Linked DNA regions of Caenorhabditis elegans. The protein of the gene in region 2 binds, or shares a complex with, the protein of the main gene of each other region. Each region holds a gene or a part of one and is shown on either strand. Other genes may lie near its edges. The genes, in order: pat-2, pat-6, unc-112 and pat-4.

Region 1 (7,942 bases), on a different chromosome or scaffold from region 2:
TTGCAATTCTTGACAATCAAAAAGAATGATCGGTAATAAATATTTAATTGTTTTAGGTTGTAATGAAACGGTAATGTTCACCATGTATTAGTTGAAAAGCTATTATGAAGATTATTAATCTTTATAGAAGGGATTATGATTTTTTTGTTGCTTAGTTAGTCAACGTTACTTTTCACAAATGACCCATCAATTTAAGATTCTTTTTTCAAAACCTACCTCCTAATTTAACTTCCCTTAAATCTTGTCGACATCTTTTTTTTCCAAAAATTCATTTTCCTCCTAACCACCCAATTAATTCATCCTCCCCCCGTTCCCTCAATTTATCACTTGTTCCTCTCTATTCAAAACATGACCTTTTTGTCGGAGAGGGAACAGTCACCAGTCAACCATATCTTGGATTCTACTGACAATTACTTCATGCCCACATCCCAATACTCTCTATTACATGAACTTTTCACCAATATATAAAATGTTGTTCGTATACTGATGGGCTTCAAGTAGGCGTGATTTTTAAAACACATACTACAAATATTGGAGAAAGTGCCGTATTTGTTCTATTAGTATTGGTGCAATACGTTTTTGACCACAATATTTATGTACTTGAATTAACTAGATTTCACTGTGAAAACTGAAACTTTAAAAACTTTAAAATCTGTGGCAACTTATTGTCGAATTTTGGCAGGAAGTTTCCCTGATATTCCAAGTAGGTTCAAAAATTGAATTCAATTATCAAATTTTGGTCTGGTCAGATTGAACGTCTACTATTATAATAATTTTGCAAGTTTTTCAAAATATTAGAAAATCTCTTTGGTGTTTCAAAAATAGTAACTGCATATCTACTTGATTCCAAACTAATTGCTTCTCGTGTCCCCAAATAAGTGGTGCCTCTTCCTCCGCCCCCTTCCATCCTCCCAATTTCATCCTCAATTCATGCTTCCATCAATGTCTACGTCTCTTCGTCTCTCACACTCTCTCACCATTAGACATATGTTTGATAACTATCCGGAAACTGAAGAAACTATGTGTCCCTTCCTCCCTTCTCTATTTCAAACGACTCTTGACTCATCGTATTTTTCGGAAATTCATGGGATAACTATGAGTCTCCAGATGCCAGTTTTGTTTCGGAATTTCCTTTTTGTACGTTTTTCACAAACTTCGAATTTCTGATTTTTAACTCGTAGTCCAGCCAATATTCTGAATATTTTGAGGGTTCTCCGGTAATTTTAAAGATTTTCGAATGAGTACAACTCAAAAGCTAGAGGTTCCAGCAAACAACTTTCAACAGTCAAAACATTTTGAAATAGTTCAATTGAGCATTTGAGAAAATATTGTTGTTGGCTCTCGCTCAATACACAACAAATATTGAGATTTATGCAAAATTCGAATTGCTCCTTACTTTGCTTCTTCATCAATCTTGCTCCACGTGTCACGGGTCATTTTGTTCCCCCGTTAATTTCCGTTCGCTCACTTCTCCTGTTCGTTCAATTCATTTCTTGATATGTTCATGACTCAATGTGAGTGTGTCAAATGCTCGTAGAGCTCCCTTCTCAATTATAAATGACTTGTCGTCTTCGGAGGGTCAGTTCTTTGTTTCGCAATCGCGTGTGCTCTGTTCAATTCCATTTTTCCTTCCTTCCGGTTTTTGGAAAAGACACCGATTAGGCTTCATTGATCCACATGTTAACTGAGAATTTGAAATTATCTCAGTGAAATTGGTCGCTACTTTGAATTTAATTCATTTAGACATGAAAAACGTTCCAAAATTAAAATTCAAGCAAAGTTCTTTATTTTCCCTTTCAAAAATATTTCTTGGAACTTTTGAATTTGAGATTTTGAAATTTTTTTTCTATTCAATCAACTTCTAAAATCGTTTCATCTTCCGTATACTCGTTGCAAACTTCTTTCTGATTGTTTTCAAAAAACCGAATTCCAAATTTCCAGTAGATGCGAGAGGGTAGTTTTCCGCGAAGGATCGGCTTGCTTCTAGGCTTACTGGGCCTTTTAGCCGGAGTTGCCACCTTCAACATCGACACAAAAAATGTAGTGGTTCATCACATGGCTGGTAACTACTTTGGATACTCACTCGATTTTTACCATGAGCAGAAGGGAATGCCTGTGTAAGTTATTGAATTAACTGAACAGATTTTACATTCAAAAATTTCAGCCTCGTTGTCGGTGCCCCTGAAGCTGAAAGCAATAACCCAAACCTGGCTGGAATCCGAAGACCTGGAGCAGTTTATGCTTGCTCCGTGAACCGGGCAACATGCCGAGAAGTCCACGTGGATAAAATGAAGGGAAACTTGAAGAAACTCAATGGATCACATCTTGTTCCAATTGAAGAAAAATCACATCAATTCTTTGGTGCAACTGTTCGATCAAATGATAAGCATGATAAAATTGTGGTAGGTTTATTCTGCGGAGTTTGAAAATTAAAAATTAAATTTCCAGGTGTGTGCTCCAAAATACACATATTTCTACTCAAAATTCGAAGTTATTGAGCCAGTTGGAACCTGTTTCTATGCTGAAAATGGATTTGATAATGCGGAGGAGTTTTCATCGTGCAAACAAGAACGTATGTTTTGGGGATACTTAATTGGTACTGCAGGGGTACTGTAGTTTTGGAAAAAGGAGTTCGAGAAAAGAAAGTTCTGGGAAGTTCTAGAAACTTCTGAAAATTTTGAGGAATTGCAGGAATATTTTAATAGTTTGAAAAGTTTCTGCAACCCTCAAGACACTGTTAAAAACGTCTTAAAATTTTGAGATTTTTTTGGAAAATTCTAGAAACTTCTAGAGGCTCCTGAAAAAAATCTGAAAATTGTTGAACCTTTTGGAATAGTTCAGAGTTCGAACAATTGGTAACTTTATAAAAAATTAGATGAAAAATTACAGCTGCTCGCCACGGTCGTCATCGTCTTGGATACGGTCAGTGCGGATTCTCGGCTGCAGTTCCAGGAAAGAAGAATCAAAATCGTGTTTTTATTGGAGCCCCCGGTGTGTGGTATTGGCAAGGAGCAATGTTCTCACAGAACATCAAAAATCAGACAGACCGCCCGAATACCGAGTACGGTAGCAAGGAATACGATCACGATATGATGGGATATTCTACAGCAACTGGAGATTTTGATGGAGATGGTATTGATGATATTGTTGCCGGAGTTCCACGTGGAAACGATTTGCACGGAAAATTGGTGTTATACACGTCGAAACTGAAGATGATGATCAATTTGACTGATGAGGTGTCAACTCAACATGGACAATATTGTGGAGGATCTGTTGCAGTTGCTGATGTAAATAAAGATGGGTAAGTGAGATTCACAAACACATAAAATTACAATTCTCTAAATATTCTCTGTATTAATTTCAGACGCGACGACATTATCATGGGCTGCCCATTCTACACAGATTACGGTAGCGTGAAAGACGCAAAAACACAAGAAAGAAAACCACAATACGATGTCGGAAAGGTCATTGTGATGCTTCAAACTGCTCCAGGAGTCTTTGGAAAACAGATTGCAGTTGTTGGAGATGATCAGTGGGGACGATTTGGACACGCAGTCGCAGCAGCTGGAGACTTGAATTTGGATGGTTATAATGGTAGGGATTTTGCTACTAAAAATGAACGAATTTGAATTTCTCACAGAAATTATTTTACGCGGAAATTCAAATTTAGTTTTCGTATTTTCACTTTTCTTTTTCTTAATTTAACAATTTCTTTAGACATAAAAAATCCTAGATTATCGGAAATTTGTGCGGCATTTTGAACTTTCAATCTCATTTGAACCGCTATGGAAATTTATTGCATTTTTTGTTGGAAATTTTAAATTACAAAATAGTGTTTTTCAGATGTAATTGTTGGTGCACCATATGCTGGAAAAAACAAACAAGGAGCTGTTTATGTGATCCACGGATCCAAAGATGGTGTTCGCGAACTACCAACTCAGAAGATCGAAGGAGCCAATATTGGTCATGGAAATATCAAATCATTTGGCTTCTCCCTTACTGGAAACGAAGATGTTGATGGAAATGGAATGCCAGACATTGCAGTTGGAGCATGGAAATCTGGAAATGCAGCTGTTTTACTCACAAAACCAGTTGTCACTGTCACGGGACAAACTGAACCAGAGAGTGCATTGATCAGTGTAGAAGATAAGAATTGCGATGTTGATGGAAAATTGGGAAAACAGGCATGCAAACATATTAATACATGTTTCAAATATGAAGGAAAAGGAGATACACCAAATGATTTGGAATTTGATCTTCGATTCAATCTTGATGATCATTCTCCTGAACCAAGAGCTTATTTCTTGCAAAAAGATGTGGTAGGTCACTTTTTTAAAACTAGATAAAAATTTTTAACACAATAATAATATTTCAGAAATCTGACAGAAGCATTAAAGTTGCACAAGGATCTAAAACAAGAGACCATCCATCTTCAATCGAACAACGTGTTCGTCTTGAGAAGGGACGACAAAAGTGTTTCAGACATCGATTCTTTGCTTCTTCCACAATGAAGTGAGTTTTCAGAGAAAATATTTTGATTTTCTTTCAAAGTTTTTCAACTCAAAATGACCACAACTTTTTAAATTTTTTTATCAGAAAAAATTGAGAAAATGTTTGCTCTGCTGTGAAAAAAAGTTCAAGGCTAATTTTTGAATGTAAAATAGTTCGTATGCTTTGCAAACCTTCAAATTAGAAAATAAAATGTTTTCTAAAAATCAAAAATAAAATAATTTCAGAGACAAGCTCTCCCCAATTCATTGGTCCGTCAACTACACATATGTTGAATCAAAAACCGGAAAACTTCGTGGTGATAAGCTTGAACCAGCAATTGACACAACTGTACCACTTTCATTCCAAAATAAGATTAATATTGCAAATAATTGTGGAAAAGATGATCTTTGTGTTCCTGATTTGAAGGTTACCGCTGTTGCGTAAGTTTTTTTAATTTTCAAAATGATCGATAAAAAGTGTTGAAAAAATACATTAAATATGCCATTTTTTCATTGAATATAAAAGAAAGGGAAACATTGAAAATCCTCATTACAGTAAGTTTGAAAAATTATTGAAAAAATGGGTTTGTCTCGAAATGTTTTAATCATTACTCTAATTTTAAAATTTTCAAAAAAATATAAGGAAATGAGCGAGAAAAATTGAATATAACACAAAATACAATGTAACCTAACTCGACAATTTTCAAAACATTTTTTATAATGAGACAAGTTCACAGCCATTTTTAAAATGTTTGCTTCAGGATTTTCCTGTCAAAATAATTCCACGAAGATTGTATGTTTCTTTTCTTCACGGAATCGGCGAAATTTTCAGTGAAATCATATCATTAAAATAATTATTCCTAAACCTATAAACCAAATGCCAGCAATTAAATTCTTTTAAACATATTTTTTCAGTGATCGTGAGAAATTCCTTTTGGGAACTCAAGACAATACAATGCTTATCAATGTAACAGTTCAAAATGGAGGAGAAGATTCATATGAGACAAAACTTTATTTCGATGTTCCACAAGGATTCGAATACGGTGGAATTGAAAGTGTTGGTGGAGATGGAAGCAAGTCTGCTCCAGCTTGTTCTCCAACTTCCGATGAACCAGATTCGGATGGAAAATGGACTTTTGCATGTGATCTCGGCAATCCACTTCCAGCTAACAAAGTAGTTAGTAGTGTTGTAAGAGTGACTGCTTCTTCTGATAAACCTCCACTTGCTCCAATCAGTATTAATGCTCATGTGAACAGTAGTAATGATGAAGAAGCTCATACTGTTGCTGATAATAAAGTCACATTCACTATTCCAGTTGATTTTAAGAATCAATTGAGTTTGAATGGTAGATCAAATCCCGAACAAGTCGATTTCTCAATGACGAACAAAACACGTGTAGATGCTTTCGATGACAATGAAATTGGTCCAGTTGTTTCACATCTTTATCAAATCAGTAATCGTGGTCCATCTGAGGTTGACTCAGCTACTTTGGATATCTTCTGGCCATCATTTTCCACTGAAGGAGGTCATCTTCTGTACATTATCACAGAACCAGTTGTTAATCCACCAAATAAAGGAAGATGTCGGGTCAAACAACTGCAAAATGTTAATCCATTGAATTTGAGGGTACGTTTGAATAATTTTTAAATTTCTAGACATTACTTTAAAGGTACACGCTGTTTTTCTGAGTGGGTCTTGCCACGATCTCATAGTCGTTGCAAATCCCCAATTTCTGTAGACACTGAATTTTATAACTCTGTACATTTAAAATTGCAGTGAAATACGGAAGGAACTATTTTGTTTTAGAAATAGAAGTAAGAAACTTTATCATTTTTAGGATAAAATTCAAATTTCTTGGGAAATTTTGAAGAATTGTTTTCGTCAGTTTCTGAAATGTTTAGAATCGGCGAGTTAAAAAAAAATATTGGAAACAATCGAATATGCTGAAATATCACAAAAAAAATTGATTTTCCGGTTCGGGCTGACAAACTTCACTTTTTTCAATTCAGAATCCTGAACATCTTATTTTATAAATGTTCACAAAAAATTACTGTCGCACATTAAAAACGAATTAAAATTTCAGATAACAAATGAGCATGTTCCAACTGAACCACCAGTTGCCAAGACACCAAATGAATATTCAAGAGAAGAAGATGATGAATCATATGAAGATGAAACAACAACTCAATCCCAATCAACACGTCATCAATCTACACAACATCAAACTCATCATCAATCTGGTCCAGTACATGTATACGAAAAAGACGAGGAGAAGATTCGTCAGAATACTGGAAATTGGCAATATGTTGAGGATAAAAAGAAGAAGGGAGATTATGAATATATTCCAGACGATCAGGAATATGATGGAGATGATTTTGAAGAGGAAGATGATGAAGATTTTGATAGAGCTGGAAGTAAGAGAGTTAAAAGAAATCCAACACCAAAGAAGAAGAAGAAGGGAGGAGAACACCGTGGTGAACCAAGAAGTGATAAGGCTAGATTCTCTGATCTTCGTGAAGCTGTTAAACTTTCGAAGGAAGCTGGAGGAGTTGTTGATTATAAGGGACCACTATCAAGAGCATCTGTTGATTGTAATTCATTGAGATGTACACATATTGAATGTGATATTTATGATCTTAAAGAAGACGAGTTTGTACTTGTGGAAATCTTCTCTAGATTATACACAAACACATTGGTTGATGAGAAAAATCCTGGAGGAGACATTTCATCGTTGGCTCTTGCTCGTGTCACATCTACTAAATACAATCTTCCACATAAGCCAACATTGATAACAGCAGTATCTACAAATATGAATGCAATTGCTTCTGAAGAAGGAAGAGATCTTCCTTGGTGGCTTTATCTTTTGGCTATTCTTATTGGACTTGCCATTTTGATTCTTCTTATTTTACTGCTCTGGAGGGTGAGTTTCAAATTTAATTTTCAAAAATACGATTTATTACATAACAACATAGATATTGGCTTGCAAGTTAAATTAAAGTTCTTTCGCCAACTTTCATGCTTACTTGTGACGCAGCAAAAATTATATCTTAATTTCCAATTTTGTGAAGCGGTTTCTCAAAGCCTCATTGATTTATTCGGATGGGCCTCGCCGCGAGAAAAGTTTATGGTTCAAACTCTGCCATTTTCGAAAGGTAAAAAATGATTGTCACAAAGATTAAGAAAAACTGAATTTAAAAGAAGTTGCCTACGACATTAAAGCTGTGCTCACACGCTTTCGAAAATTTCACAGCAACGTCCACGGCGAGCTTACGTCGGGGGTACTGTAGAATATAGGTAGATCAGAGCGACTACAGTATACAACCAATTTCGAAACAAATTTACAGTTTCCCTCAGAAAATAAATAATAATAATCTAATTTTCAGTGTGGTTTCTTCAAACGTAATCGTCCACCAACTGAGCATGCAGAACTCCGTGCCGACCGTCAACCAAA
Region 2 (4,793 bases):
AACTTTGCAAGCATTCTGTTTTTGTTCTGCACATATCTCTCGGGCAACCTGCAAAAAAAAACGATTTTTAATTAATTTTTCGCTAAAATTCAAAACAAACCGATATTCCGGAGTTCCATCGCCCCAATGATCATAGCAAAATTCGAGGCAAACGTGATATTGATTCCATTTATTTGGACAACCAGGTGCTCCTGCCGAATTCTCTTCGAAACTTTTCTTTTCTGGCTCTTTTTCATAGTTTTCAGCGATAACCTCTTCTTCTTGCTTTACAATTCCCCTTTTTTGAAGTCGAGCGAGAAGAGCTGGTGGAAGAGGCATTTTCTGTAAAATAAATACAATTTTATATACAATCAATTCATATTAATTAAAATAAAGAAACAAGAATAAAAGAATCGATGAGAAAATGCATTAAATTTTATTAATGCAAACGCGCCCCATTGCAAATCTCCTTTACGAGGGAGTTCAAATAGAGTTTTTTTTTCGGAATTTGCCAATTTCTTTAATTTAATATAGTGCTAAGTCTAAAAATTAAAAGATTTATTGACATAAATGCAATTTTAACAAAATTAAAGCACCATAGTTGTTGAGCCAGACACAAATTATTGGACGGTGTCGTTTGATTAGGATGACGAATGAAGTTCTCAGATTAGATATGTTTGTACTTAGTGAAAAGCAAATGGAGAAGACGGAGAGTGCTCTGCAATAAAGAATGAATTAGGATTGTATATAGAAAATCCATCGCATCAGATATGAGCAGAAAATTTGTTTTTGCCACTTGTTTAAAATTCTTCGGGATTGCTGAATCGTCGTGAAAAGAAAATTCGACAACTGCGAATGTAATCGCGCTTCAACCAAATGGCGATACCTAACGAGACCCAATTAAAGGAGGCGGGACATTTTCATTTCCGGCTGAAGCGCGATTACACTTTGATTTCAATCCCTTAAAATTTTGCACTATTTAAAATTGAGGATTGTAAATTGAATTAAATTAGGAAAATGGTATATTTTTCTGTAAATTGTCAAAACTACAAACCTTAACATCTCCATTGGCAATATCCTGAACACGAGATCTAGGCTTCTCAAGGCCAGTGTCTTCCATAAGTTTGAACGCAAATTGCACATTTTTTACTTTCTCCTCGTGGCTTTGAACTTGGAGATTAAAATGGTAAAGCGGGACGAAATAACCTTCAAGAAGTCCCACTAGGAGAACTAAGAAAACTCCGTCCTGGAATTGATTATCCAAATCAGACACCTAAAAATTTACAAATATCAGCTTCTTTGTAGCACAATGAAGTGAATAAACTTACTTCCAGATTAATTTTATTCAAATGCTTATTACAAAAAGCCAACAAAGATGTCTTCACATGAGCCAACTTATCGGGTCCATAATCGAAAAGCGTATCAAATGCGTCACGAGTGCCCTTCGGTGCCAACTCAGTTTGAACTGTAGTGATTTGCTCAGTAATTCGATGGGTCTTCACTTGACCATGTTCCTTTTGAGCCACCACAACGTTAGCAACCACGTTATCTGGGAATCGAACTGGAGCACGGTAGTGAAGAGCAAGAAGCACCAGGAGCTGGATGATGGCAGTGAAGTCCTGGGAATATTCTTTTATGAGAAAATATAAAATATGGAAAGTAACTCTGTTTATTCGAAAAGTACTGTTGCGTTCAACTATCGTATATTCTCAATAAGTTTTGCATCCAAAAACCACCTCGAAAATTAGTATTGCAGTTCACGAATTTCTATATAGATTACCAGCCGTGGACCTGGGGGTGAAAACTGATTTTTTCTGAAACTACAGTATTCCTACCGTACCACTATTGTGCCAATACAGTACTTCGACTATATCCCTACACTAACCCCAACTCACTATCCCAAGAAGCCAAAACTTCACAGACTACAAAGACTACATAGACTACAAACTATGGACACACAGAATAAGCGCTTTATATATAGTAAATGATGAATAGTATTGTGTGGCGGAGGTGTCCACAGATTAACATATCATACTAATATAGAATATACGGTAGTTTTTGGAACAGCTTCGAGTGAGAAACTCTTTTGTCTACAGTGCGTCAAACATCTGCACAATGAAATGTAAGACTGATAGAAATGAACAATTCAGACAAAGATTTGCGTACCTTTTGATGAATAAGATCCGCAGACCATTTCTCTTGTTCTCTTGGCTGTCCGAGAATTCGATTGGCTGTTTGAACTACAATTTGCAGTTTTTGACGTTGTCCTTCTTCTGACTGCGAAACTTCTGGAACCTCGATCTGTAACAAAACTGTGAGTGGAGAATTTATTCAATTTGTGAAATTGTACCAATAACTTACTCGAATCTGCTCCAACTTTTCCAACAGCTTCTGGATGATTTGACCATCGAAAAGATCTTCTTGCAAGTGACGAACGACAATTCTTTGATCAGCTAGCTCTTCATTAAGCCAGTAGATCAGCAAATCGACAACTTGTGCCAACTTCTGATCGCGGGCTGTTTCCTTAGTCAGATAACGACGAATTTCTCCTGGAAAAAAATATATTGGATAAATATATTGGTGAAACCGTTTACCTTCTTCCAACCAGATGTTTCTTGCAAGAACTGGGACCAATGACTGATCGAGAGCCTCACGACCTTCAAGTTCAAGCTGAAAAATCTATATTTGCTAAAACCATTAATTTGCAAAACTAACCTCCAAAACTTCATCTTCATCAGTAGCATGATGTGCACCCCCTTGGTTTCCATGCTCATCTTCCGGCGCCTTCTTCTTTCGAGAAAGGGTACCAGAGAGTTTCTCAAAGACTCCAGGCTTTTTTGGTTCGTCACGAGATGGGGTCTTACTACGACCAAGTGTTGACATGGTTATTGCTGAAAAGTTTAAAATTATTAAGGGGTAAATATTTGTTGATTCATAATAAAAAATAAAGTACAATTAGATATTGATAAGTTAAAAAAATTTTGAAGTCTCATTATGAAACTCTGTTTTGGAACATTTCCTCTTTAAGCACTTAAATTTAAATTTGAAAAATCGATAATTCAATGTTCAAATAGCAGTAAAAATATTGTGTGGGAGGATTCTTTCCGTAGAGCAACACAAAAGTCCCCATCCAGGCCAGCAGATAGTGTAAAACAGCCGTCGTCAGTGTTGAAAAAGTGAGAGAGTGTTGGGAACAATAAGAGACGTAGAGTTGGAAGGAGAGTTTACGACAAATGAGAGATTGGGTGAAAAGAGGATGGTGCAGATAAATGGTGTGTGTGGGGGAGAGAGAAGGCTTTGGGATACATATAAATGTATGGGAATAGGAAAGAAGAACGGAAAGTTAATATTTGTATATGCATATGTATTGAGAAAGAAAAGGACGTCCATATAACAACTAATATTCAAATAAATAAAAATAAAAATAAATTAAGAAAGACAACAACTCTGCATTTACCGTATTTTCGCTATTAGTCTTGCATGCGAGACTAATTTTCAATTGGTCTTTAGGGGTGCAAGACTAATAGAGACTGAAAACTATTTTTCGAACTTTGGAAAGTGATACAATTTTGACCGTTCAAACAATGAAAAATACATACTTTCCCAATATTACATCAATTATTTGAACGATTTTACATTTGATTTACTCCAAAAATGATAAATTTGCTTACGTTTCCACAAAGTTCTGCTAATATGACAAAAAGTGGGGTGCTAGACTATTACAGGCTGTAAGACTGATTTTCAATTAGTCTGTAGGAGTGCAAGACTAATAGAGGAAATACGGTACAGTCGGTCCACAGGTCGGTCTTTTGAAAATAGTTTTTTCCATAGCAATTTTTGAAAAAATTTTGAAAAACAATTTTAGGAAAAAATTATGAAAAATCACATCAGTTACATTGATTATACGTACGGTACATTCGATTTCCTGGCGTATGATAATAGTTGCATTAAACCGAAATCAGATTAAGAAACATTGAACTAGTAATTGTAAAAATTAGCATGCAATCTAGAAAATTAGGAAATCTGAAAATTATTAAAGGTGGAGTAGGGCCAATGGAGTAAGTGTTAAAAAATACTCCTATGGTGCCAAAGTGACAAATAATCATAATAAAACTTTTCAAAACTTTTTTGAAAAATTTTTATTCACTGTCAAAAAGTGTTCAATATTCAGTTTTTGCCACTCATAATTTTGGAAGTCGACCAAAAAAAATTATTTTTCCTACATTTTTTATACTGTAATTTTGTTTCAATTATTTTTGTTGAATCATTGTAAAGACCGGAATATGCGACATTGCTTTGGATGTCCTCAAAAGCTCATATTTGTCAAAATTTTGGTAATGTGCCAAAACTTTGACCGAAATTAGGGAAAATCTAAAAATTTTTGTAGTTTTATTATGATATTCGGTCGTTTGAAATCATAATAAGCGTATTTAGACAAAATCCCCATTGACGCTACTCCACCTTTAAATTTTTGAAATTTCGTGTACTTCCTTCAAATTTGTTTAATCATCAACCCGATGCGTCTATCCTTCGTTATCAACAAATTGTAGGTGTCTGTGTCAAGAACTATTGTATCTCGTACAATCGAAAAACCAGTTCCTTCATTTTCAAAACGCTCCCTTATTTTCTTTGTTATCAACAATTCGATTTGTAAAAACGGAACCACATCGATTGTTGTCTCTTGTTATTACATCAATTCCTACACCATTTTCAGTCAAAGTGTGGATATTTTCTGAAAACTGAGCGATTTCAGCCAAATATTTGCCTGTTTTTCATTTTTCAATAAAACTTTGCCATGTTTTCAATCGTGCCCA
Region 3 (6,914 bases), on a different chromosome or scaffold from region 2:
GATATTTTTTGCTGTTGCTTGAAAATTTTGTTTCAAATTTCTTGATACTTCTTGAACATGTTTTCACATGATTTCAATCCGTTTGAAAACAAATTTTTAAATAACGGGATACAAACTTATTTGCTTTTTTTCTATCAAATTTATATTGCCGATATGTTTTGTACTATTGATTTTATATGGTTGAATAGAACAGATTAAGGATTCCTAGGTAGTTAGGTAGGTAGCTAGATAGCAGAACAGTGCCTGCCTGCCTTGTACCTACGTTTGCCTACTACCAGAAAAGATGGAAAATGACTATAATTTCCTGATTATTATTCCAGCGAGATATGCGAAACGTTGAGAATATGAGGAAAGAAGTTGAAAAATACAAGGAACTCAATGATATTGTGATGGGAGAATTTGAAAAACTGGAAAAAGAGCGAGATCAGTTGCTGATTGAAGTTGAACGAAACGTTGGAAGACTAGAAATCAGCAATCAACAAAAATTCGAAAAGCTCGAGGAACGCGGAAGAAGATTTTAAATGTTTATTCATCAGTTTTTATTATTCAATTTTTATAATATTTTTCAATTTTTCTCATACAATTATTATTAATCCATAGATATGAAAAGGCACATAAAACTTTTTTTCGATCCGGTATACTTGTCTTATTAAAACGAAAAATTATTTGGAAGAGGGGAAGGGGGGAAATGAGAAACAAGAAAAATGAAAGAAAACAAATATATATATTGAAATTTTGAAACGAAAAAGATGGAATTGGAGCCTAAAATTAAAATTCTTTGGTTTGCAAAAGATTATAGAAATTTAAATATCTAAGCCCATCCTCCTGTAAGTTTGTGGAAAAGTTCTTCATCAAGATTTTGAGAATGTTCTTTGCTTCGCATTGACAGGAAAATGTATCCACCGATGAACTCGTGAACGACTTTGCAATCAGCGGAAAGTGGCTTGAATTCGATATCCTCATCTTCGAATTGAATCTGGAAATTGGGGAGATAGGATGATAAAATAGTATACTCAAAGAAAAAAAGTAATTAATTTCAAAAAGTTTGTTCTCGGTTATTTTCGGGTTTATCTAAGCCTTTTATGTAGGCACAAAACAGATTTTAAAAATTTATTTCTAAAACGCTCAAGGTGCAACGCTGGCATGTAGGCAAATAGGCATGAAGTCTGCCTACCTTCCTGTCAGCACCAAGTTTACCGAAAAAGTTTCGGTCTTTGAGAACATTATCTGATTTAGATTTTAAATTACCAAAGACCTGAATTTTTTAGTAAGTTACGGCGAATAGACTTATGGATAGAAAACAACAATTGAATCAAAAACGCAATATTATAATTTTTGAAACAATACAAAGATTTTTTGAAAGCCAATTGTTCTTTGTGTTTAGATATACATATTAGGAAAGATTTTGAGATGAAAACGTAATTTCAAGACATCACAAAATAGATTAACAATCAGAAAGTTGTTACAAGAAACTTAGATGAATAGGTCTCGAAAACGTTCTCAACATTTTGCAATTTTTCGATTTCCGATCATGTCCAGATCTTAAATATTTTATTCATCAAAAACTAACCTTGAGATGTCGAATTTCCCAGTTGACATGCCACTTCTTCATATTTGCAAACCTCCATGTCTTCAGACTTTCTCCATTATCCATATTCAATTTTGCAAGTCTATTCACAGCAACAGCCACCAATTCCGCCTTTCTAGCATTTCGGAATCTTACAATGAAATAATGAATTCCGTGTTCGGGAAGTGCTTGCCATGCTCGGATATATTGAAGTTTCGCTTCGGTTGCCGTGAGTTGTCGAACATTTCCATGAGCATCTGATACTCGCTGTTGAATTTGTTGCTTGCTGCGTGCTCGTCGTACGTATTTCGACGATATGTACTCATCAACATTGAAATCATTTGGTAGTTTTACAGCGGCGGCTTTTCGCGAAGCTGTGTTGCTGTTTCCGTTTTCGTTTCCATTACCTGAAAAATTGTTTCATTCGAAGAAAATAATTTCATTATCACTTATTAAATTGTAAAATCAACAACTTACCACTTTGCATCTTGAGCAAGTTTTTGATGCTCTCCACCTCCTGTTGATATGACGAATCAGCCATTGACTTCCCTCTGGATGCTAACCGACACGCAGCCATCCACCTGGCATATTGATGCTCGGAATCGCATTTCAAAATGAAGTCAATCATTCCTTCAGCAGTTGGAAGTAACAATTTGATATGATACTTCTGCTGTCCAACTGAAACATCCTGACTAACTTCACATCCCTTCAATGAGAAGTGTCCAAGTGGAGCTGAGTTGACATCTGAGGAGCTTTGATGATATGATAAATATAAGTCACGGAACGAGAAGAATGCCCGTTTAAATCCTTTGAATGCTGCCAATTTCTTTGGTTTCATATATTTCAAATAATCTGCTAACTCGGGAACTTGTGTAAGATCTGATCGTCTGTTAAGAGCAGCTGCGTCAAGGTTTTGCTCAAGCTCGTCCAAAAGAATATCCACATCATCTTTATTATTTTCTTCAGGTTCAGGAGAATCTCTTTGCAGGGTTGCTTGAAGTTGAAGAGCAGCAAATAGTGTGGCTTCTTCCTCTGTGTGATCGAATTCATCAAGTAAAATGCTCCATTTTGCTTGCTCGTAAAGTTGATTAATTCTCACTGGATCATATTTTGGATTCAAATCAAAGAAATTCATAAATTTGAATCGTAGTAAAATAATATCTCCTTCAAAAATTCCTTGTTCCATAAGTGATCTGCTAGAATCAAGCCATCCTCTATTAATCGCAGCTTTTTCCACATAGTTCTGAGGTCTAAATACTGGAGTATCACGGCTTGGAGCAAGTCTTGGTGAATGAATAAGAGCATCATCAAATTGCTCATTTTCAAGTCCTTCACTAAAACTGATGCTTGGCATAATTGGTGTTCTTCTCATCGTATCGTTATATGCTCCTGGCGATGGACTGACACCACGTGGCAATGTTCCGTGGCGAGGAAGAGTTCCCATTTCGTGAGCATTGAAAATGTGTCCAGATTGGGAGAGCGCGGGTGATTGACCACGACGGCGCATATCAAGATTCGATTGAGAAGCAAAGATTGGAGCAGCTTTACGGAGAGTCATTGGTCCAACTGATTCTTCTCCTGGACGCATTGAGAGTGGACCGTTCATGTTGTCGGCGTCAGATGTTCCACGTCGAAGATCCTCTGGTGGAATATATCTGTAATATTTTAAATTATATGATTTTGAATTATTGGGTTATTTCACATGCTCGGTAGTAGTTAACTTTTGACCTTGCTCAAACTTTTGGGGCAGGATTTCGATCAGGCATAGATTTTCCCTAGTTGCTTAAGATTCCCAAGGATCTTCAATCCTCGTTCAACCAACTAAGGAATTTCACAACTCCATTCTTATTTAAATTAAAAATAAAACATCAAAAACTTCCCAATTCCTACTTACCTCTTCAAAGACAATTCCTCTGAATATCGAATACCCAAATCACGGCACAATTTCTTTGTTGCTTTGAATGAATTTACCGAGAAATCAACTCTCGCATCAATCATTTGCATATCTGGTAACTGAATTCTTGCTTCTTTATGCATTGGTGTGAACTCCAATTGTGTTTCAGCTGTAATTCCATTCTGGTCAAGAGTCGATCGAGTATGTTGAAGCCATCGCCGCTTCTCCGGCCACCACAGAGCATGATCAGACCAATCTCGTTCAACATCTGGAAAAATAGAAATATTTGGAGTTTTTTAGATTCTTGTTTCAATACAGCTGTTTTGTAAATTGTTTGTTCAGCTGAAGCCCAAATGATTACATTTTGAACTTGGAAATTAAACACATTGAGCACACAAATTGTTATACCCTAATGCAGAAAATCTTCATCCCTTCAGCTTCTGCAAGTTCTAAAAATCGCGCGAAAACTTAATTCCAAAACGTTTTTATGCGCCTCTCCTATGCGCCCTTTCTGCTCTTGGTCATGATGAATGCCAGTTGCTTCTCAAGTTTTGATACTCTCTCCTGGGACCCCCTATCATTGTGTGCTCTTATATCTCTGCAAGGAAAGCCTCTAAACTTTATGTACCCAACAGCGAATGTCCCATCCGAAACAATCAGCTTATGTAGATGCGCACGCGTGCACTCGAATAGTCAACATTAACAGGGGTTAGGATGAAAAGAAAAAGAAGAAAGAGAAGAGCAACTGGTAGGAGATGAGAAGAGCCCATAAATATTTGATAGGTTCCGCATAGTTTCTATGATGTTTCAAAATGTATAGAGGACTTCTTGTCAACTATTTCGGAGCTCACAGTCCCTAAAAAATTTCGTGAAGATCTCTCAAAAATTAACTTTTTAATTAAACTGTTTTATTCAAAATACGAATTTTCAGCAAACTTGAAAGAATTGTACGAGAAATTTTTCACTTGGCGCACTCTTCAAGGGCTCCGTTACGATGTGTTTCCAAAAGTGTTCCCTATCTTTCCAGAACATTTTTTTCCAGCAGATTTCAACATTTTCCCATGCCTTCAATTTTTACTGATATTGAACATCATTTCGTAATGGTGCACACACCACGTATCTTTTCGTTGTAACAAACGCGTAGGCGCACACAGTGGCAGATATATCTAACAGATTATATTGAGTAGAAAAGAGAGAAATCATGGTCTATTGAGATCTTTGAGATCTTGACCGAGGTGATAAGATTCGAAAAAAAAACTCACCGCATTCGCTAACAAGTTCGAGCATGAGTCCTCCCACATTAAGATTTCCAAGGACAGAGATGCTTCTGGAAGAAATAAATACATTTATTGGAAATTGGAAGACTCTGAGTTTGAAAATGTCTCATTCATGTTTGGAAAAAAATTTAACCGGAATCTTCTGAAAATTTAGGCTAGGGTTTAGGGTAAGGCTTAAACTTAAGCTTAAGCTTAAACTTAGGCTAGGCTTCGGCGTAGACTTAGGCTTATTCTTATAGTTAGTCGTAGACTTAGACTTAGGCTTGGGCCTAGGATTGGTTTAGGCTTAACCTCAATCCGAGAATAACTCAATTATCACTTATTCTGACAAAATGACTTGAATTCAGAAAATGTGCATTGAATCTTTTTCTATAACTTCCTGCAATTGCAGTTATTTAAGAACAACTGCTAAACATGCAGTACTATTGAAAGTTAATATTTTCTAAATATATAATTTTAAATCCTCACCTTTGAATATTCAAATCGGTGACCAAAATTGGCAATTGCCATTTTCCATCAATAATCGAGGTTCCTTCAACAAGATGTGCCATGTTTGAAGTGATTTAGGTAGAACCACTGAGATATTTTAGTTGTTGGAAAGATTAGCAAATTATAGAAACAGTGTATTTTCTCCGTCCACGGTAGATAGAATAGAAAACAAAAAAAACCGCTTAACAACAATCAACAAATCAATAAAAAAGCTATGTGTGGGAGAATATCAGGTAGAGAGGAACGTGTATACAGAATAAAATAAACGAAAAAAGAGGCTAGAGAACATTGAAGAATGAGAGAATGAGAGAAAAGACTGCCGATGCGGACGAACAAACGGACGGCCGGAGCAGTACACACTCTTCGTCTCTGACTCACAGCAACACCGTCTCTCCGCTTCTTTTCTCACTCTCTATCTCTCTGACTCCCTATCTGTATGTTCCAAAATGCAATGAGAGAGCGAGAGAGAGTGAACAGTTGTAGAAGAGACGGAGAGTTGAAGGACACTCGGCAGGCGGCTACGCGGGAATGGGAAGGAATGACAGTAGGCGATGCTGCTGTAGATGAAGGAAAAGAAGAAGACAACATTACACAAAGAGTCCCGTCCCCCGGCTGGCAGAAAGATTTGGCAGAAGAAGGAGGAGGAAGATGCCAGGAAGCAGCTTCTGAAGGGACATTGGACATGAGAGAGAGAGAGTAAAAGTATAGGATATCACGGGTAGTTGGGTATGAATGGAGAAGTGCAATGAAATGGAGAAAGGTGTATACTAGTTTCTGAATTAGAATATCTGGATAATGTGAACATTTGTGAACAATGTGAACTACGTAGATCAATGGGACACTCTAACACCACGTGTGAAGTTCATACTGTGAACACTTGGTAACCTCGTCTTTTATGGTGCAATTGATAAAAGTTCAGATTTTCCACAAAAGTAACTATCCTTTACAGTATATTAGAAATGGTAGTGAAATTTCAATATGCGCTGACACAAAATGCTAACTTCTTGTCCAAGTCTGGCTCAAAAGAAATATAAACTTGGTACAAAAGTTGCTTATAAAGCGTATGCAAATTTTTTTGGCGGCGTTAAAAATCAAACTTTTTGACCTAATCGTTTTTTGAATCGTTTTAAAGTTATATAAGACATTAACAAGAGTTGGATCAAACTTGAAATAAGCTCAGAAATTTTTTGGACGAAGAATTTGAGCACTGTGTATACGGGAACACAAAACTCTGAGAATGCATAGTGCGCAAAATATCTCGTAGCGAGAACTATATTAATACTTAAAATGACTACTGTAGCGCTTTAGTCGATTTACGGATTTTTGAAATGATTTTCTTTTCGAATAGTGACATCGATATTCATTTTTCTTCGTTTCCTCGTATTAGTTTTTAATTTTCGGCTTAATTTCAATATTCAATCGATAAATCAATGTTTCCGAAATTTAAATCGAAATTTAAAGATGTTAAAGAATTACTGTAGTTTTCCCTACGGGATATTTTTTGTGTCAAGGAATAACCTTGTAGCCATTTAAATCAAACTGATATTTTCAGCTATCACTTAACGTTTCTTTGTTTTTATATCCTATGCAGTATTTCTCGGCACGGCACGACATGTTGTCGCGCGCGACTGACAAAAAAATTAATTGATGACTACGGTAGATTGCGAAGTACGCAGAGGCTTTTGCG
Region 4 (7,664 bases), on a different chromosome or scaffold from region 2:
TATTAGAAAAATCTGAAAACTCACTGACATTTTGCGAAAAATTCCGAAAATTGGTTAAAAAATTTTTTTAAAAAACCTGGAATTTTCCAAATTTTTTTTTCTAAAAATTAAAAAATTCCGAAAAATCCTTTAAAATTTCTTACAGGGACCCTCACTGACTCCGCCCATTCGAAACTACGAGGCTCCGGACGGCGACTACATTGATACTACGAGAAATTGGGCATCTTAGAGCCGAAAATTGTTGATTTTTATGTGTTTTATGGGTATTTTTGTTGTAGACAGTGACATAGGATGACGCATTAATAAAGGAATTATCGATTTTTATGGAAAAAACTAAAAATTTCAGTGAAACCGAGCTGGAAAAAATAAATTTGCCACTGCGGGGATCGAACCCAGGCCCTGTGATTGGCGGGCGAGGTCACTAGCCACTAGGCTACACGTGCAAATTTTTGGCAACTGATTATTTGGATACATGAAACTTACTGCAGCGAACTTTTTTGTCGAAGAGTGTTTGCGTACAGTAATCCTTACATTTCATAAGATTTTATTGATTTTTTCATAAATTGAGCAATTTTTTTTGACAGTTTAACATTTAAAATTAATATATAGACGGAAAATGCGATGGGGCTGGACAAGGAGCAGGCACTTTTGATGTAAAGCTTTGATAAATTGAATTTTAAAAAAATTGTTGAAAACATTAGAAAAGCAAAATCGATAAATCATAATATCATTCTCTCTAAAATCGGAATGATTTGATCAAAGTTTGGCCGACGTCCCGGGTCCTCGTTCATGCAAATGTTCATCAAACGGTTCATATTACGGGCGATTCCAGGGGGAATGTGCACTCGGAGACCTTCCAGAGCGATCTGAAATTAATAAATTTGGATTCAGCGTGAAATTTGGGTCTGGAAACGCTGATTTTGGAGGTGTAAGGGGTACTGTAACCCTAAAAGTACGCAAACACTGAATCTGACGACGACTTGCAGAAAAGCGGTGGAAAATGAGTTTTTTGAGTTTATTGAGGTAGAAAGTGACGGGAAATTCAAATTTTTTGATAAAAATTATATTTGATCAAAATTATACGAAGAAATTCGAATTTTTTGACAAAATTTCAGAAAAAAATTTTGATTTTATCTCAAAATGTCAACAAACTGTGGTTCAATTCGAATTTCTCGCAAAATTTTGAGCGTGGTCAGTCGTTACTAGACGTTTCTATTCCATTTTCAGGGCTTTCGGGGTACTGTAGTCTCGGAAGTACGCAAACACCGAATCTTACGACATTGAGCCCAAACGAGCTAAAAAATGTTGTCACGGCCTGTTTTGAGCTTCTGAGTTTGAATTTAAGAATGAACACTTTTGAAAAAAATAATAGAAAAACAATTTTTTTTGGGCCAAAAAAAAATTTTTTTCCAAAATTTCATCCGAAATTAACTGATAGATTAATTTTAGGATTTTAACATCATTTTTCACACTTTCAGCCCTCCAAAAACCCTCCCTTACCTTCATTCCGCATTCCATTGGCGGTAGATCAGAGAATGGGACCTCACGAGTGTTCAGCTCCCACAACAATATAGCAAATGACCACATATCGGCAGCTCTAATATTCAAGTCTTCTGGAGCCCGTGACAAGGCTTCTGGGCTCATCCAGGCAGGCGAATAGGCTTTTCCGACCTCTTGGAACGAGAATTTCGTATCTGCCATTGAGAGTTTGGCGGTGAGCTCCTCGTCGACTACAACGTGTTTGGAGGAGAGGTAGAACCTGGAAACTGGGCTTTAGGCTTATGATAGCTTAAATTATCTGAAACTCTAAAATTAGTTAAGAAACGTAAAAAAATGGGGGGAAAATTAAAAAATTAAAAAAAAAAAAAAAAAAAATTTTTTTTAAGTTTTTTTTCGAGTAGTGCCCCAAAAACTCTTGGATTCCTGAAAACAATTTTTGAAAATTTTTGTTGTAGCTACTTTTCGAAGAACATTATTTCAGGCACATTTTAAGCCAAAAACCGTTTGAAAGTATCAAAAACTAAAAAAGTTATGAACTTTTGAAATTTGGAAAAAAAAATCCAAATTTTTTTAAAAACATAAAATTCAAATTTTCCCGCCAGAAAAATGGGCGGAGCCTATAAAAATTTATACTTTTCTGGGAGCTCTTTTTAAGCTCCATTCAACCACACTAACCTCAAAAGCATAGGGTCCAAACTGTGCAAGTAGCTCATTCCTCTAGCAATGTCCAACGCGAATCTGACGGCTTGCCCGTGATCAATGACGACAGCTGCAATATTTTATTGATTTTATTAAATTATTTCAGCGATTTTTCACAAATTAATGTCAAAATCTAATAGATCTCGTTAAGAGCTTTCAGAAAAGTATAATCATGCCTAGGCTCCGGCCATTTTAGCATGAATTCGAGAATTTTTGGGTCTCGCCACGAAAACTGTTGGGTTACTGTAGATAAGTTATCTAATATGATATTGATAATTTTACTAAAAAGACAATTTTTTGAGTTATCTGTGCGCAGTATTTTAACAAAAAATCTCAAAAATTGGGAAAAGTACAAATTTTGAAAAAAAAAAATTTATCAAAAAAAAATTTTTTTCTACTTTTTCGAAATCAAAAAAAAAAATTTTCAAAACATTTTCTAGGACTAATTTTTGCGCCCTTTTCAATGAAAACCTTCAAAACTCACAACTTTGCTCGTGGAGCACGTTATACAGGCTTCCAAATGGCATGTACTGCGAGATGATCACCAAGTTCGGTGGCTGGTTAGCCGCGGCGAGCACCGCACAAATATTCGGATGAGCAAAAATACGAAGAGCCGGAAACTCGGTCTGGAAGTCACGTGAGATACGGGCGGTCACTTCTTGAACATTCAAAATTCGCGCCACAATATCGTTGCCCTGCCATTTTCCACGCCACAGTTCTCCGGAGTGTGATTCAGCGATCTGTAACAGAGTGGGGGTTAAGCTGGAAATTTTTGGGATTTTTAAAGTTTGAGGTAGCTTATCAAGTTCATCTTGATCTAGACTTTCAGAAAAGTATACATTTACTCAGGTCAAAAAAAATTTTTATTTCGAAAATGAAGTTTTTTTTTCAAACATTTCAAATCTTAATAACTTTGCCAATTTTTAAGATTTTTTGCAGATTTTTGACATAAAACACGTATAAAATATTGAAAAACAGTATTATTTATATTAAATAATAATATACACTACGGTAAGTGAATTCTGGAAGTTTACGTAGCGGGTTCCAATTTTCGACGAGTTTTTGAGTCCCACCGCGAAAATCCATAGTGTTAAGCTGTTTTGTGTCAATACAGTATTTTAATATTTTATTGACGTAGAACAAGTTTTTGTGCATATTTTGAGGTTAAAACCGGCTGAAAATCTCAAAAACAGTCAAAGTTATGATTTTTTCAATGTTTGAAAATTTTCCTTAAAAAATTTTTTTTTTCGAATTTTTTCAGAAACTTCGAAATTCGCGGAAAATTCCCATCCTTCAACGATTGAAACTAATTTTTTACGCTGAATTTGAATTTTTAAGTTATTTTCCACTGAAAAAATCTATAACCCACTTTAGTGATCAAATTCAGCGAGGAGACGTCGACTCCGGTGTAGCGGGACAGTGTGGCGTCCCGAGTACGGGACTTTGTACCCTTCCATGTGGTATCCTTGAATGGTACACGGTCATTTGGAGATTGTCCATGTTCTTGAGCAATTTCTAGAAAAAATCGATAATTTAAAAATTTATTAGAAAAAAGTCATCCCAAAAAAAAAACTTTTTGCGAGTCAAAAGTCTTTGCTGAAAAAAACATTAAATTTTTGTACACATTATTTTTAAGTATCAAAATTAAATTTTGCTCACCAAGAGCTTTCTGAAAAGTATAATCATGCCCAGGCTCCACACAAAATGAGCATTGCCCAGAAGACTTCAGAATTTTTGGGTCTCACCACGAAAACTTATAGGGTTACTGTAGTTTATGTTTTTCAATTTTTTAAGTTAATTTACCAAAAAGCTTGATCTTTTAGACTTATTTTAACGTTAAATTAAATCGAATCGCTTGAAAACTAAAAAGTTATGAGTTTTTGAAAAGTTGTAAAAATGTTGAAAAATGTTTTTTTTTTCAAAAAATGCATTTTTTCTTCTAAAAATCTTATCTATATGTTTTCCGACTAAAAAAATTCAATTTTCAGATTAAAATGCACAAAAAACTTACCCAAAATAGTGTTTTTGCACATTGGCTGGCAAACGTCCAGTGGGGTCATTCCCTTCTTGTTGCACACGTTGACAGCGGCGCCGCAGGAGATTAGGTCCTGAAGTTGTTATTTTGCAAGAAATCAAGGTAATTATTAACAAATTCAAATTCAGCTTGTTAAGAGCTTTCAAAAAAGTATAATCATGCCCGGGTTTTGAAAATTCTACAAATTTTCGATAAATTTTTGGGTCCCGCCACGAAAACTCCCAGGGGCTACTGTAAATAGGGACTTTTTGTGTTTTTGGTATAATAAATTGAAATTTTAAAATATTTAGGACGCAAGTATGAAAACATAAAAAAAAATAGCCAAAAAACTTCCAAAGTTATAAAGTGTTGAAAAAATGATTTTTTTTTCAGAAATTTTTTCCGGCAAAAAAAAGCTCAAAATTTTTGGTCAAAAGTGGGCGCATCCTTTATGAATTTATACATTTATTAAAGCTCAAATCTAGTTATATTTGATTATAAAAATAATTTCACCTAAACTATACATTTTCATTGCGAAATTAAAACTTTCCGAGAAGAACTTATTCGAAAATTTGGAAAAAAAATTTTCTGAATTTTTTGAAAAATCATTTTTTTCCAATTTTCCCAAAAAATTTTCCCAATCGAGTTTATACTTATTTTGAAGCTCTAAACAAGCTCTATTCGAATTTATCAATAAAATCACCTCAGCAATTTGTTCATATCCCCAAAAGCAAGCATAATGCAGTGGAGTCATTCCGTGCTCGTTGGTAGCGTTAACATCGGCTTTTCTCGACAAAAGCTTCACCACAATTTGTCGGTGTCCATGGGCGGCCGCCAAATGCAATGACGTGTCATCTCCCATATTCGTAGAGTTTACACGTGCTCCACGTGACAGGAGCATCTCTGCAATCGCCACGTGGCCGCCCTTCGCGGCCCAGTGGAGCAGTGAGAAGGCGTGATCGTCTCCGACGTTGAGATCGTGCTCGTGATCGTCCAACCAGACGCGGACCTGAAATTTTGATAGTAGTCTTAGTCTATAGTAAGGATTGTGATAAATCCTCTGCAAAAAAATTGGACAATTTCGGTGAAAGTTGATCAAGTTAGCATGAAAAGAAAAATCGGACAAAAATTACCGGAAATTCCAGATTTAAGCTTAAAATCTAGCTTTAAACTTGATTTTTCAAATTGGCAACAATTTTTTTCAAATTCAGCTTAATTTTAACTTTTAGAAAAGTATAAATTTGTATAAGCTCCGCCATTTTAAATAGGAATTTAAATTTAAAAAAAAAAAATTTTTAATGAATTTTTTTTTTAGAAAATCTCAGAATTTCGGATTTAAATTTAAATTTTTTTAATTGAGGAAAAACATTAACTTTCAAAAAAGTATAAATTCATATACGCTCCGCCCACTTTTCAGCGAAAAAATTTGAATTTTTCTAGAATTAAAAAAAATAATTTCCAAACATTTTCAATTTTTTTCCAAATTTTTTTTTTCAAAAACCTATACAAAATTATACTTTTTCAAAAGCTCTCATCGAGCCTAACCCCATAAAAATATTTACAAAACTCACCTGAAAAGCGTTACCCTCGCGGACCCATCCAAACACATCCTCCATTATAATGGGCACATTTGGCTTGTGCGCATGGTAATGAGTCGACAAAGACATTGTTGACTGGAAATATAAGGTTTTACGTGTGAAATAGTGTAAAATTTGAAAAAATCAAGAAAAATTGAGCAGGAACATGTAAAATTACAACAAAAAAAATCGGTGAAAATTGAAGAAAAAAACTATTAAAAAATCAATAAAAATCTCCAAAAATTTCCAAATTTTCTCAATTTTTCCAACTTTTTCCCGGGCCCCATGAAGCCCGGAATCTATAATTTCAAGCCAAAAAAGTTAGATATAAGAGACATAGACAAATAAACAATGCAATAAGTACAACAGAAAGCAGTAGAATTTTGCTGAGGCGACGGCATGGGGGGGGGGGGGTCAACATTGTTCCCCCGCTGGCCAGGCGAGATAGTAGAGGACTATGTAGGAGACGCAGAGAACAAGACGAAATTTGTTGTAAATGTATGTATTGTGGAGAGGGAGTAGTATCCCGCGCAGAGAACAAACGGCAAGCGATTGTGGGATATCTTTTCGTTGACCATTCCGTCGTCTAGAGGTTGGCTCAGAAAAAGCTCTGAAACTTCGCTTGAAATGAGCTTCTGGTCTTGAATGCTAAGAATTTGAAAAGATGAGAATTCGGGCTTTCAGAAAAGTACAAATTTGCCTGGATTTTGCCTGAAAATTTTTATCAAAAAACCGGCAAATTCGCTTCTAGGACATTTTCCAATTTTACCTTTCACAGCTAACTCCTGAAAAAGCTCTAAAATTTGGCTGAAAACGAGCTTCTGGTCTTGAAAATTCAAAATTTGAATAGGAAAATTTCCGAGCCATCAGAAAAATATTAATTTATGGTAACTTTCTCTTAAAAATTTTGAGGAAATCGTAATTTTTGCTCTGAAGCTCCGCAGCGAGTTTCAGAAGAATTACTGTAACTTGGCTGAAAATAGTTCGACAAAGTTATACCTAGTTTCATTAAATTAAGCAGTTTAAGGGTTTTCAGAATAGTATAAATTTGCTAAAAAAGCTTTAAAAAACCCCAATATTCCAAAGGACTTTTTTGATTAAAAAAGTAATTCAAAAAAAATTTTCACGTTATTTCAAAGCCCCCATCGCACATTTTTGTGCCCAAAAGATCTGTAAATTTTTCCTCTACAGCACTGAAAAGTTATGTATCAATTCCTGTAAAAACTCTTGAAATTCCTAGCGTTTTCGTGGCGGGACCCAAGTTTTTTTAGCAATTTTCTTCTCAAAGACTGGGTTTACAAAATACCTGAACCCGGAGCATAACGAAAAATTGTGAAGCTTAACAAAGTTACCACTTCACAATTGCAGCACTAAAATTCAATGACGTTTTTCAGACAAAAAACCATTTTCAGACGCTTTTCCCAAAACAGCCAAGAAAGGGCCTAACGTGGCCTAACATCCCAAAATTTTGCCACGTGGCAGAAAAATAACGGAATATCATATCACTAGAAAGTATATCATAAAATTGAGTTGGTTTTGAGGGGGCGAGAAGCTCATCGGAAGAAGGTATTCAAGAACATTTGAGAGAAAGAGAAGAGACGGGGGAGAGAGAGTGTGAAATGCAGTGAGAGACGCAGAGATTTGGTTCCCGTGGGAGTCGTGTGAGTTAGAGATAAAGAGATATGGAGAGAGATAGGAGACGCAGAGAAGCAGGGACGGATGTTGTAACACGATTCTCGGATGGAAACTGAGCATTGATGATGATGATGCCAAGGATTTTGGGGACCGGGAGGGTTGCGTAGAAAATTATTGATTTTCTGACAATTCCAGCGGGGGGAGTCGGAGTGTCCCATTTCGGTTTGATCTACGTAGAT

Evidence for each region.
Region 1: pat-6 (region 2) and pat-2 share a complex: the UniProt entries of both Caenorhabditis elegans proteins name them as parts of the integrin containing attachment complex.
Region 3: pat-6 (region 2) and unc-112 share a complex: the UniProt entries of both Caenorhabditis elegans proteins name them as parts of the integrin containing attachment complex.
Region 4: pat-6 (region 2) and pat-4 share a complex: the UniProt entries of both Caenorhabditis elegans proteins name them as parts of the integrin containing attachment complex.

What each region holds. Positions count from the first base shown.
Region 1 is NC_003281.10:8,816,958-8,824,899, forward strand, and holds the start of pat-2 (Integrin alpha pat-2), read left to right. Parts: upstream 1-1,941; 5' UTR 1,942-1,944; coding exon 1,945-2,117; intron 2,118-2,164; coding exon 2,165-2,402; intron 2,403-2,448; coding exon 2,449-2,572; intron 2,573-2,889; coding exon 2,890-3,301; intron 3,302-3,364; coding exon 3,365-3,594; intron 3,595-3,843; coding exon 3,844-4,319; intron 4,320-4,375; coding exon 4,376-4,512; intron 4,513-4,604; exon of another isoform or gene 4,605-4,696; intron 4,697-4,736; coding exon 4,737-4,931; intron 4,932-5,405; coding exon 5,406-6,117; intron 6,118-6,574; coding exon 6,575-7,411; intron 7,412-7,874; coding exon 7,875-7,942. UniProt on the Caenorhabditis elegans protein: Required for muscle development probably through the regulation of the actin-myosin cytoskeleton. Component of an integrin containing attachment complex, which is required for muscle maintenance.
Region 2 is NC_003282.8:261,363-266,155, forward strand, and holds pat-6 (Paralyzed arrest at two-fold protein 6), read right to left. Parts: upstream 2,871-4,793; 5' UTR 2,863-2,870; coding exon 2,695-2,862; intron 2,650-2,694; coding exon 2,574-2,649; intron 2,529-2,573; coding exon 2,341-2,528; intron 2,281-2,340; coding exon 2,146-2,280; intron 1,599-2,145; coding exon 1,308-1,598; intron 1,253-1,307; coding exon 1,034-1,252; intron 698-1,033; coding exon 647-697; 3' UTR 524-646; downstream 1-523. Other genes in the region: pqbp-1.1 (WW domain-containing protein), read right to left, coding at 1-48, 101-318. UniProt on the Caenorhabditis elegans protein: Involved in the regulation of cell adhesion and cytoskeleton organization. Component of an integrin containing attachment complex, which is required for muscle development and maintenance.
Region 3 is NC_003283.11:14,691,341-14,698,254, forward strand, and holds unc-112 (Protein unc-112), read right to left. Parts: upstream 5,315-6,914; 5' UTR 5,290-5,314; coding exon 5,207-5,289; intron 4,789-5,206; coding exon 4,724-4,788; intron 3,730-4,723; coding exon 3,462-3,729; intron 3,223-3,461; coding exon 2,045-3,222; intron 1,975-2,044; coding exon 1,571-1,974; intron 977-1,570; coding exon 812-976; 3' UTR 522-811; downstream 1-521. Other genes in the region: gasr-8 (uncharacterized protein), read left to right, coding at 321-521. UniProt on the Caenorhabditis elegans protein: Component of an integrin containing attachment complex, which is required for muscle development and maintenance. Probable regulator of cell-extracellular matrix adhesion. Required during initial muscle assembly to form dense bodies and M-lines.
Region 4 is NC_003281.10:88,924-96,587, forward strand, and holds pat-4 (Integrin-linked protein kinase homolog pat-4), read right to left. Parts: upstream 5,887-7,664; 5' UTR 5,881-5,886; coding exon 5,785-5,880; intron 5,223-5,784; coding exon 4,917-5,222; intron 4,308-4,916; coding exon 4,211-4,307; intron 3,715-4,210; coding exon 3,569-3,714; intron 2,940-3,568; coding exon 2,684-2,939; intron 2,270-2,683; coding exon 2,176-2,269; intron 1,760-2,175; coding exon 1,501-1,759; intron 867-1,500; coding exon 720-866; 3' UTR 530-719; downstream 1-529. Other genes in the region: mrpl-40 (Large ribosomal subunit protein mL40), read left to right, coding at 146-229. UniProt on the Caenorhabditis elegans protein: Probable pseudokinase that acts as an adapter protein. Component of an integrin containing attachment complex, which is required for muscle development and maintenance.